3 linked regions of the Callithrix jacchus genome follow. The protein of the gene in region 1 purifies or fractionates together with the protein of each later gene. This does not show direct contact. Links are inferred from orthologs where the notes say so. Each region holds a gene or a part of one and is shown in the gene's direction. Other genes may lie near its edges.

Region 1 (3,648 bases):
CTTATGTTGCTCAGGTTGGCCTTGAACTCATAGCCTCGCCTCCTCAAGTGCCAGGACAACTGGCCGGAGCCACCGCGGCTCCATTTGCTTTTTTGCATGTATTCTGTTTGATGATGAGTACGTTCAAGTGAAGAAAACTGAGGAGTTCTCTTTGAGGTAGAAATGAAGTGCTGTTGGAGAGCTAAAACGGAGCTTGATCTCTCTCCTCCAGGAACATACAGCAATCCCTCTAATGCCTTTCTTTTGGTGAGAATTTTACAGAAATGGAAAGAAATGATAATCCATCCTAGACAGTTATTATGCTTTGTGAATGTTTAATCTTAGACTCTGATATTTTTGGCTTTAAATCATGGCTTTGCCAGGTGTATATAAATTTCATATAGAGTACCAAGTTTACCAATAGCCTCATGGCTCAATTTCTTAATTTGGAAATGGGTGTTACGACAATACTTATTTCATAGGATTGTTGTGAATTAAATGAATACATGTCAGAACTGTTGTTACTAACACTGGTAATGCCTGTACTGTAGTACTTACTGCTATTCCCACTGCTATGCTACTGCTGCTATTCCTATCGCCATGTATATTCCCCTGGTGCTATGGAAGAAACTGAAAGTAGCTCATTGTAAGGATTTTTTTTTTAATTCAGATACCTATGTATCTACTCATTGGGCAGTAGAAAGCCATTTTCTTCTTTTAGATTGAAAGAATGCTCTTGGCCATTGTAGCTTATTTGACTTATTTGAGGATATAGATAGTAAAATGTTGAAATGTGAAATGTAATTTTATATTTAACATGCTTTGCTAATTCTAGTTTTTAGTTATATTTAGACTTTATAATAGTTGTATTTTAAAATTAACTTTGTTAGAATTGTACTTTGTGCCTCTTTTTTTTTGAAATAGAGTCTTGCTCTGTTGCCCAGGCTGTAGTGCAGTGGCACAATCTTGGCTCATGGCATCCTCCGCCGCCCAGGTTCAAGTGATTCCCCTGCCTCAGCCTCCTGAGTAGCTGCGACTATAGGCGCACACCACCACACCTGGCTAATTTTTAAATTTTATTTTAGTAGAGATAGGGTTTCACCATATTGGCCAGGATGAGCTTGATCTCCTGACCTCGTGATCTGCCCACTTTGGCCTCCCAAAGTGCTGGAATTATAGGCATGAGCCACTGTGCCCGGCCTGCCTCTTTTTGTAACGATCTCCAGACCAAATTCATTTTTTTGGTTTACTCTCAAGGCTTGAAGTTTTTAAACTTTTGATAAAGAGTAAGTAGCATTTTGTTAAAGGAAAGTGGTCTCTCATAAATAGTGTCTTCCTGAGAATTCCCTTTATGCTTGTTGAGATACGTGTTTATATCTGATGTTCATGAAACCTTTTAATTTTTTACAAAAGTTTTTGAGTACCTTTAATTTTGATGAACTCTTTTGTGGTTGGACATTAATTTCATGAAGACAGCTAAATATTTTGGGGAGATTTGTAGGATTTTGTGTACATACGTGTTTGAGTGTAATTAAGAGTCTTAAAGATTATAGATAGGTTAGGTAGAATAGTAATATATTACAAAAGATCTTACAGTTATATTTCCTTCTCTGACTTCTGGAAAGACTATACTGACAAAAAAAATTCGAGTTTAATTAGTTTCATAGAGTTTTATTAAGTTGTTGACTGTATGCAATTTCTTCGTATCCACTTATCAAATACTGGAATTATGACTGTGGAGAAAATGTTTGGATAGTTCTTTCTTCTTTTTTTTTTTGAGAGATAGTCTTGCTCTGTTGCCTAGGCTGGACTGCAGTGGCATCATTGTGGCTCACTGCAGCCTTGAGTGCTTGGGCTCAAGGAATTCTCTCACCTCAGCCTCTTGAGAAGGTGGGACCACAGGCATGCACCACTATGCCTGGCTAATTTTTAAAAATTATTTGTAGAGAGAAGGTTTTGCTATGTTGCCAGGTTGGTCTCGAACTCTTGGCAGAAGCAGTCTCCCATCTCACCTCTCAAAGTGCTGGGATTACAGACATGAGCCCCCCATGCCCAGCTGGATATTTCTTATATGAGTATTTTTGGCTTTTGGTAACCTCCTTTTACCACATATAAATGGGAATCTGGAATACATTTAGTTTTCTGATCTTCACCTTGTTCTAATACCATGTGGTATTAGAACAGTATGATGTTTGTGAATTACCTTGGGGCAGTTTGGAAGTATGTTTGGAAGTAATGAAGCATAGAAAGATCAGTATAAAAAGAAAAATAAGGTAACCTTGAAGTACTTTACTGGAGGTGAGCCATTAGTATTGTTTTGTACTATACCTTTATTATGGCACTTGTTTAATTTTGTATTTGCAATTTGCATGTCTGTTTCCATCAGTACTTCTAAAATATTTAGAAAAGGGACCGTATTTTACTTTTATTTCAGTTACAGCACAACCCGAGACGTACATTCATTGCATGTAGTATATGCTCAATAACTGATTTTTTGCTGAATATCCAAATTTAGTCTTTTAGTTGAATGGTTTAATTTTTGACTACCTATAGTTATATTGGAAGATGGGCTTTTTTTTTGTTTTTTTTTTTTGAGACAAATTCTCCCTCTGTCACCTCACCTGTCGCGTAGGCTGGAGTGTAGTGGTACAATCTCGGCTTACTGTAACTTACACCTCCCAAGTTCAAACAATTCTCCTGCCTCAGCCTCACAAGTAGTTGGGACTGCAGGCATGCACCACAATATCCGACTAATTTTTTTTTCTTTTTTGTATTTTTAGTAGAGAGAGGGTTTCACCATGTTGGTCAGGCTGATCTCGAACTCCTGACTTCAAATGATCCACCCACCTCAGCCTCCCAAAGTGCTGGGATTATAGGTGAGAGCCACCATGCCCAGCCAGAAGGTGTTCATCTTTAAATGATAGAGGCTTCTGTGATTTTGGAAAGTAAATAGGAATAATTTTTGTAAACAGGCTTTTGCTTATTTAGATTCATCAGGTAAAGAAGTACTATGGCTAATAGCACTCTTCATTAATTGGTAGATCTGCTTTGGGCTATTGTGAAATGACTGATTCTTGTTATTATCCTCTTGTGGAATGGCTTTCAAAGTAGAAAAGAAGTTAGGAACATAGAAAATCCATCAGCTAGAAAGTGAGACTAGACCGGGCGTGGTGGCTCACGCCTGTAATCCAAGCAGTTTGGAGGCCAAGGCGAGCAGATCACCTGAGGTCAGGAGTTCAAGACCAGCCTGACCAACATGGTGAAACCCAGTCTTTATTTAAAAAAAAAAAAAGAAAGAAAGAAAGCGAGACTAAGTTAAAATGAAAATGAAAGAAAGAAAGAAAGACTAAGTTAAAATGAAAATAATTGGCATTTCCTCTATCATAGATGATATCATCAAATTGAATCGAAAGGAAGGAAAGAAGCAGAATTTTCCAAGACTAAATAGAAGACTCCTTCAGCAAAGTGGTGCCCGGCAATTCAGGATGAGAGTACGATGGGGAATCCAACAGAATTCTGGTATGTTTTGAAAGTAAGCTTTAATGAAAAGCTGTTATTTCTGTGTTCATAGTGTAGTTTTTAGCATATGCTTAACACATGGAGGAAATGCGTCAATACTCTTGGTGTTTTATATTTCCTCTGTGCCTAGGTTTTTGCTTAGATCTAAAA
Region 2 (4,403 bases), on another chromosome or scaffold:
ACAGGGTTATTCACTGCTGTGTCCCCAGATGCTAGGACAGCACATGGCACAGGGTAGACAGTTGGTAAATACTTTTGAATAAATTAAATGATACTTGGGAAAGCAGCCCTTTTATGACACCATTCTTGAATCAGCTACTTCATTTTATTACTGAAGATAAGCTTGCTTCACCAAGGATTTGAACTAATGAGGTAACCCCTAGGTATTTAGTAACCAGATTCTTTGAGCACGGAGGCAGAATACAATAGAGAATTAGAGGTGTTTGCATCCTGGCTGTAACCTCACCAGCCGTACTCCTTGGGACATGTTGCTTTGCCTCTGTCAATGAGATGGGAATAACGGTACTTACTCCTTAGTATTAAATGTGCTAACAGGGAGAAGGCCAAACGTTTGTTATTTATGTTACACAGCAGGACATTATGTCTTATTTTTGTAGCTCCCCATGTCAAAGACGGGGAAGTCAAATGTTTCAAGCAGAAAAAAATCCAGGCTGAACAACGGGACTGTTGGGGCGGGGCCAAAAACTTCTGCTCAAATTAACAGAATTAATGGGCCAAGCGATGTGGCTCACGCCTGTAATCCCAGCACTTTGGGAGGCCGAGGTGGGTGGAACATCTGAGGTCATACATGGGTGAAACCCCATCTCTACTAAAAACACAAACATTTGCTGGGTGTGGAGGCGCCTGTAATTCCAGCTACTCGGGAGGCTGAGGCAGGAGAATCGCTCAAACCCGGCAGGCGGAGTTTGCAGTAAGCCGAGATCGCGCCACTGCACTCTAGCCTGGGCGAAAGAGCAAGACTCCGTCTCAAACCAAAAAACAAAATTAATGAAATGTAGTATAACCCTCAGGCCCTACTATTAACACTTAGGGGAGAATCCAGACCCAGTCTCCCGTTCGGATTCAGAACACCTTCCGGACTCACTGGCCCTAGGGATCAGCTACCTAGGACAGCATCGTTTTGGGAAAATGCCGCCCACCAGCCCCACCACAGGGAAAGAGTCGGACAACACCCACGAGTACGCCAGTTCCCTTAGACTTCCCTCAGCTAGGGCCTGCCGTTTCCTAGTGCGTGCACAGCCGCCCTCAGGTCACCTTCACTACAGGGCCAAGGACCCCGTGGGAACTCGCAGGCCTTGCCACTCTCGTTCCTCGCGCGTCCATGGAGGGGTGCCTAGAGAGAAGACCTGCGTGGCAAAAACCTAAACGAAGAGATGAGGGGCATGGAGAAGAGTAGAAAAAGATCAGAAAGATAACAGTGGGAGGAGATGTTAGTTTCCTTTATAACTTTTGTTACTGGCGGTAGCAGGGAAGTTAGAAATGGTTTTAAAACAAATTTCAGACAGGCATTTTCCAAAGGCAAGCCTGGAGCGCGCGGATCCATACAACTGCGGAAGGCCCTGTTTCCGGTCCTTTGCGCCTGCGCTCTTGCAGCCAAGAAGGCGGGAGGCCGCAGTAGAGAGAAGGCTGCAACCGGAAGTGAAGGCAGATTTCCCTCCTTCGTCGCTGTTGCTGCCGCCATACGCGCTCTCCCTGCTTAGGTAAGCTTCGGCCTTCGCTACAATCCGTTTTCATCTGCGCTTCTCCGTACCCATCCCGTCACATGGGTTCCTGATACCCTCTTCACAGGCGCTGGTCTGATCGCTGGGGCCTAGTTGGTTCGTTATTTCTGTAGCCTGCATCCCTTTCGAGAGCAAACTGTTCCTGGGGGGAGGAAGGGTAGCTAAGAGGGGGCCCAATCCAAGATGGTGTCCTCGGCGCCATTGTGTTCGCTTTGCTCCCTTCATCCAGTGGGTTCTTCTCATATTGGAGGCCTCATCATCAATGAGAGGCGGCGCTAGGCGTCCCTTGGTCTTGGTATTTGCGGAGGGCGGGGCTCTTCTCACCTTCCTTGTCTTTTTTTGGGCCCTTTCTCGGCCCACGATGGGGCTGGGAGGAGGAGCCGGTTGGATTTTTCTCACCTCGACTTGCCCAACCTAATCTGGAGTGCCTTCCAAGTGTTTACGATTGGTGTCATTGTATGTTTCTCAGAAAGGAGTCTCACCTTCGTAGCGCAACAGTGATGTGAGACCACTTGGTAAAGATTTTGTCGAAGCCTGGGTGGGGATTGCCTTTCTCTGTCAACTCTTAGCTTATTGTAGGGTGGAGACGTGAAATTTTTTGTTGTTGTTGCTGAGCCATTTGTCTTGCACTGCCCGCCCCATGCTAATTACACAAGGATATCTTAACGGAAGGGAGGGTACTGAGAAGTGGGAGGTGGACGGCGGCCATATGATGTTTTCCTTTCGAAAGGTGAGCGCTTTGCGCAGTGATGACCCTCATCTATCACCCTTGACTGATGGCTGCTGAGTTAGGCATCTGCACGTTGGGATTATAATAGGGAAAGCGCGGTCCTATGAGGATTTTTCGGACTCTGTCATCTCCATTTTCCACTTCTCCAAGTTATTAGTAGTATTTTATCCTTTATTATCTATTTTGTTTCATCCTTGTTACTTTCAGATCAAGAATTTATTTTTTTTTCTTTTTATTTATTTATTTTTAAAGATGGGGTTTCACCATGATGGCCAGGCTGGTCTTGAACTCCTGACCTCAGGTGATCCACCCACCTCGGCCTCCCAAAGGGCTAGGATTACAGGCGTGAGCCACTGCGCCCGGCCCAGATCAAGAATGTATAAGTTGGTCTTCCTGTTCCAACTTTTCTGGTTTCTGCTACTCGGATTGCTAATCTTGTTGGGATCCTGTGTCCTAAGCATTTTCCCTGGGACTGCTTTTTCTATGCTGTTTTATTTGCTTTTCGCTTGTATGTTTTGTATCTGTTTCTCTTTCCAGGTAAAAGTTTCCCAGTTTAGGGGAAGTGGGAACTGGGGATGGAAAAGAGGAGGTGAAGGCTCTGCTTATGACTAAATCTTGCTTTTTTTTTCTCCCCCCCCCTGCAGCTCTTCTTTTAGAAACTAGTATCTTTGCTTTCCTTTGCTGTTCATCAACCCCCTAATTTTCACCCCTTGTTTTCACCTATTTTCCAAGAACCCATCCAGAGCCCCCTTCCCTTTTTCCCCTGCCGGCCCAGTTATGGCAGAGAACGATGTAGACAATGAGCTCTTGGACTATGAAGATGATGAGGTGGAGACAGCAGCTGGGGGAGATGGGGCTGAGGCCCCTGCCAAGAAGGATGTCAAGGGCTCCTATGTCTCCATCCACAGCTCTGGCTTTCGTGACTTCCTGCTCAAGCCAGAGTTGCTCCGGGCCATTGTCGACTGTGGCTTTGAGCATCCATCAGAAGGTAAATTTTCTCTTGGGCATGTATGCTCATTAGGCTCTTTAAGGATGATAAAAAGATGTGTTCATTGTTGCTCAGGTGGTAAAGGTTTATACTTAAGGCTAGATCAGGACCAGTTGCAGTCGCTCATTCCTGTAATCCCAGCACTATGGGAGGCCAAGGTAGGAGAGGGTCAGTTGAGCTCAAGAGTGCAGGAGAAGCCTGGGAAACCTAGGGACTCCTGTCTCTATGAAACGTTCAAAAATTAGCCAGGTGTGGTGGCGTACACATGGAGAGGTATGGCAAGCCAGGGGAGGATTGCTTGGGCCCTGAAGATTGGGGCTGTAGTGAACCATTATTGTACTACAGTACGCCAGCCTGGGTGACAGCAAGGGAAAAAAAATCAGGAGATAAGTATCAAAAACAATTTTGGATATAGGAGGCTTATACAGGTTTATTGTTTCTTTTATGATAGCAACAAAGTGCCAGTGATTCAAGAGTAACTTATAGGTCTGCTCTTCATTCTTGTGACTGGCTTTTCTTCTCCAAGACGGAGTCTTGCTCTTTCGCCAGGCTGGAGTGCAGTGGCATGATCTCAGCTCACTGCACCCTCCATCTCCTGGGTTCAAGTGATTTTCCTTCCTCAGCCTCAAGAGTAGCTGGGACTATAGGCATGCACCACCTTGCCTGGCTGATTTTTTTTTTGTATTTTAGTAGAGATAGATTTCATCATGTTGGCCAGGATGGTCTCAATCTCTTGACTTCATGGTCAGCCCACCTCGGGCTCCCAAAGTGTTGGGATTAAGGCGTGAGCCACCATGGCCGGCCTTGTCTGCTTATTTTTAATTTTGTCACTTCTAATTTTAAATTTCCAGAGAGCTCCTGGTTGGACCTGTAGACCCCCTTTGTTGGGCCAGGCCACCTGTGGTCTCTGGAAGCCTCTGTGACTGGTTTAAAGATGACTGGCTTCTGGGTCAGGTACCAAGTCCTTCATTTCGTTCAGGGTTGCAGTTATGTGATCCAAAGTAGGGCAGTCTAAGTAGGAAAAATGACCTGTGGCAGGTGTTCAAATGTCATGAATTGTTAAAGATTAAGAAAAATAAAGAAAGAGTCAGGAGCATTGAAGGTGATCAGTTGGTAGGTGCAAG
Region 3 (3,325 bases), on another chromosome or scaffold:
ACAGCTCACTCTTGGGAGGTACTGGGTCCTGCTGTGGCTCTAGACCACAGAGCCTATGCTTTCTTTTTTGTTTTTCCCACAGGTACTATGCTATTTATGACTCTGGAGACCGGCAAGGGCTCCTAGATGCCTACCATGATGGGGCCTGTTGTTCCCTTAGCATTCCTTTCATTCCTCAAAACCCTGCCCGGTAAGTATCACATCCCAGAATCTGCCTGGTACCACAGGGTTTCCCAGCAGATACAGGGCAGCACTTGCTGCAGCAATGCTCTGACACCGTGTCCTTTCCTCTTATTCCCCCAGAAGCAACTTGGCCGAGTATTTCAAAGATAGCAGAAATGTGAAGAAGCTTAAAGACCCTAGTAAGTGTGTGATGTGAACAAAACAGGATGGGAAAAGGGCATGGGAAGGAATCTATCATAAAACTCAGGAGTATGTGGCAGCCCCACTGAGCTTTCTCTACCCACAGCCTTGCGGTTCCGGCTATTGAAGCACACGCGTCTCAATGTTGTCGCCTTCCTCAACGAATTGCCCAAAACGCAGCACGACGTCAATTCCTTCGTGGTAGACATAAGCGCCCAGACAGTAAGCTCCTGCTTGTGCCCTGACAGAAGCCTAGAATTGGGATGGGGGTGGCATTTAATAGGCATGGTTGGGGTGCGCTCAGAAGTCTACATTGTACCTGATGCTGCTTCTGTTTCAGAGCACACTGCTGTGTTTTTCTGTCAATGGGGTCTTCAAGGAAGGTAAGAATCTTTAAAGTCCTGAGTTTGTAGCATGGTCCCACCCCCAGCTGGAATGTACCTCAGCACTCTTAGCTTCCCAGCTACTTTCTCTCCCATTTCTTTTTCTTTTTCTTTTTTTTTTTGAGACGGAGTTTCGTTATTGTTACCCAGACTGGAGTGCAATGGCACGATCTCGGCTCACTGCAACCTCCACCTCCTGGGTTCAGGCAATTCTCCTGCCTCAGCCTCCCGAGTAGCTGGGACTACAGGCACGCACCACCATACCCAGCTAATTTTTGTATTTTTAGTAGAGACGGGGTTTCACCTCATTGACCAGGATGGTCTCGATCTCTTGACCTCGTGATCCACCCGCCTCAGCCTCCCAAAGTGCTGGGATTGTAGGCGTGAGCCACCACGCCGGCCCCATTTTCTTTTTGAACTCCTTCTCCCATTTTGCCTCCAAGCCATCTTGGCTTGGCCTCCCCTCCGCCTGTCCTGACAGGATATTGGAAAAGCCTGGGGATTAGGAAGACTTTGGAGTCAGGCAGTTCTTAGTTTCCATCCTGGTTTTGGTTGTGTGGGGCCGTGGACAAGTAACATTACCTCTAAGACTTAGGTTATTTATTTGTAAGATGGGTAATAGCCATCTCACAGTGGTGCTATAGAAGTAAAATGAAATAACTTACAAAGTGCTTGGCCTTGGGCCTGGCACACAGATGCTATCAGTGGGTTAGTAGTTATTAGTATTATTGTACTCTCTGCCCAACCCTTCACCCCACCTCTACTTCCCTTATACATTTAATCATCCCTGTCTGGCCCGCTAGTGTTCTTCGTATCAAATAAGACCATGATTCAAGAAGCTGTTTGTAAACCACTAGTGATCCTAAGGTGTCGTTGCTCTTGTTCTCATTGCAGTGGATGGAAAGTCTCGGGATTCTTTGCGAGCCTTCACCCGGACATTCATTGCTGTTCCTGCTACCAATTCAGGGTAAATATTCTGCTTTTCACATTGGATACCAGTCCTAATCCATGGCCAACAGTGTGGTAATTGGAGGGTAGAGTCAGTCTTCGGGGTGCTTTCAGAAAGGCAACAGGAAATTGGGGAAAGCTCACATAGTAGTTAAGAGCTAGGTAGGAGCGCGGCTCTGGAATTGTACTGTTTGGGTTTTCATCCTGGCTCCACCTCTAGCAAGTAGGCTGCTGCCTCATCTGAAAGTTTATATTAACAATATTCACTTCCGGGCCGGGCGCAGTGGCTCAAGCCTATAATCCCAGCACTTTGGGAGGCCGAGGCTGGTGGATCACGAGGTCAAGAGATCGAGACCATCCTGTTCAACCTGGTGAAACCCCATCTCTACTAAAGATACAAAAAATTAGCTGGGCATGGTGGCACGTGCCTGTAATCCCAGCTACTCAGGAGGCTGAGGCAGGAGAATTGCCTGAACCCAGGAGGCGGAGGTTGCGGTGAGCCGAGATCGCGCCATTGCACTCCAGCCTGGGTAACAAGAGCGAAACTCCATCTCAAAAAAAAACAATATTCACTTCCTAAATTTGTTGTGAAGATAAATAAAGGACTAAGAACTGTCCATGTGTTGGGAGAACTCTAGTGTGTTTGGTAGATAATCCTTCCAAACATGGATTCCATGGGAGGAGATAAATGATTAAAGGTAACAATAGCTCAGAGTGGGAGGGGAACCTTGTGAATACTGAAGGAATCTGAGAGTAGGAATGATGTTGGGGGATGACATTATATATCTGTCCAGCTTTTTAAGTGCTCTTTGTCCTCAAGGCTGTGTATTGTAAACGACGAGCTATTTGTGCGGAATGCCAGTTCTGAAGAGATCCAAAGAGCCTTCGCTATGCCCGCACCCACGCCTTCCTCCAGCCCAGTGCCCACCCTCTCTCCAGAGCAGCAGGAAATGTTGCAGGCATTCTCTACCCAGTCTGGCATGAACCTCGAGTGGTCCCAGAAGTGAGTGTTGGGCATATGTATGTAGGGTGGGGATGTACTGAACCAAAGTAGGAGTAGTCGTGACTAATGAGAGCTCCTGACAGGTGGGTTGTTTTTGTTTTTGTTTTTTTTTTAATTAGAGACAAGGTCTTGCTCTGTCACCCAGGCTGGAGTGTAGTGGTGATCATAACGCACTGTAACCTCTAACTCTTGGGCACAAGCTATCCTCTCACCTTAGCCTCCAGAGTAGCTGGAACTACAGGCATGTGCCAGCACACCCAGCTTTTTTATTTTATTTTATTTATTTTTGAGACGGAGTTTTGCTCTTGTTACCCAGGCTGGAGTGCAATGGCGCAATCTCGGCTCACCACAACCTCTGCCTCCTGGGTTCAAGTAATTCTCCTGCCTCAGCCTCCCAAGTAGCTGGGACTACAGGTGCGCGCCACCATGCCCTGTTAATTTTTGTATTTTTAGTAGAGACGGTGTTTCCCTTTGTTGACCAGGATGGTCTCGATCTCTTGACCTCGTGATCCACTGCCTTGGCCTCCCAAAGTGCTGGGATTATAGGCGTGAGCCGCCACGCCTGGCCTATTTTATTTTTTTTAAGACAGGGTTTCACCATGTTAGTCAGGCTGGTCTTGAACTCCCA

The links.
Region 2: the proteins of FYTTD1 (region 1) and DDX39B purify together in Homo sapiens (affinity purification with mass spectrometry; 5 studies listed by BioGRID and IntAct, with this or other methods). This does not show direct contact. The link is inferred for Callithrix jacchus from reciprocal best matches to the Homo sapiens genes FYTTD1 and DDX39B.
Region 3: the proteins of FYTTD1 (region 1) and NXF1 purify together in Homo sapiens (affinity purification with western blotting; 3 studies listed by BioGRID and IntAct, with this or other methods). This does not show direct contact. The link is inferred for Callithrix jacchus from reciprocal best matches to the Homo sapiens genes FYTTD1 and NXF1.

Annotation. Positions count from the first base shown.
Region 1 is NC_133518.1:81,291,994-81,295,641, forward strand, and holds part of FYTTD1 (UAP56-interacting factor), read left to right. Parts: intron 1-3,366; coding exon 3,367-3,498; intron 3,499-3,648. UniProt on the Homo sapiens protein: Required for mRNA export from the nucleus to the cytoplasm. Acts as an adapter that uses the DDX39B/UAP56-NFX1 pathway to ensure efficient mRNA export and delivering to the nuclear pore.
Region 2 is NC_133505.1:39,026,266-39,030,668, reverse strand, and holds the start of DDX39B (spliceosome RNA helicase DDX39B), read left to right. Parts: upstream 1-1,486; 5' UTR 1,487-1,540; exon of another isoform or gene 1,541-1,657; intron 1,658-1,728; exon of another isoform or gene 1,729-2,076; intron 2,077-2,265; exon of another isoform or gene 2,266-2,343; intron 2,344-2,935; 5' UTR 2,936-3,068; coding exon 3,069-3,279; intron 3,280-4,403. UniProt on the Homo sapiens protein: Involved in nuclear export of spliced and unspliced mRNA. Component of the TREX complex which is thought to couple mRNA transcription, processing and nuclear export, and specifically associates with spliced mRNA and not with unspliced pre-mRNA.
Region 3 is NC_133511.1:120,075,102-120,078,426, reverse strand, and holds part of NXF1 (nuclear RNA export factor 1), read left to right. Parts: intron 1-82; coding exon 83-190; intron 191-303; coding exon 304-362; intron 363-469; coding exon 470-585; intron 586-703; coding exon 704-746; intron 747-1,640; coding exon 1,641-1,713; intron 1,714-2,514; coding exon 2,515-2,697; intron 2,698-3,325.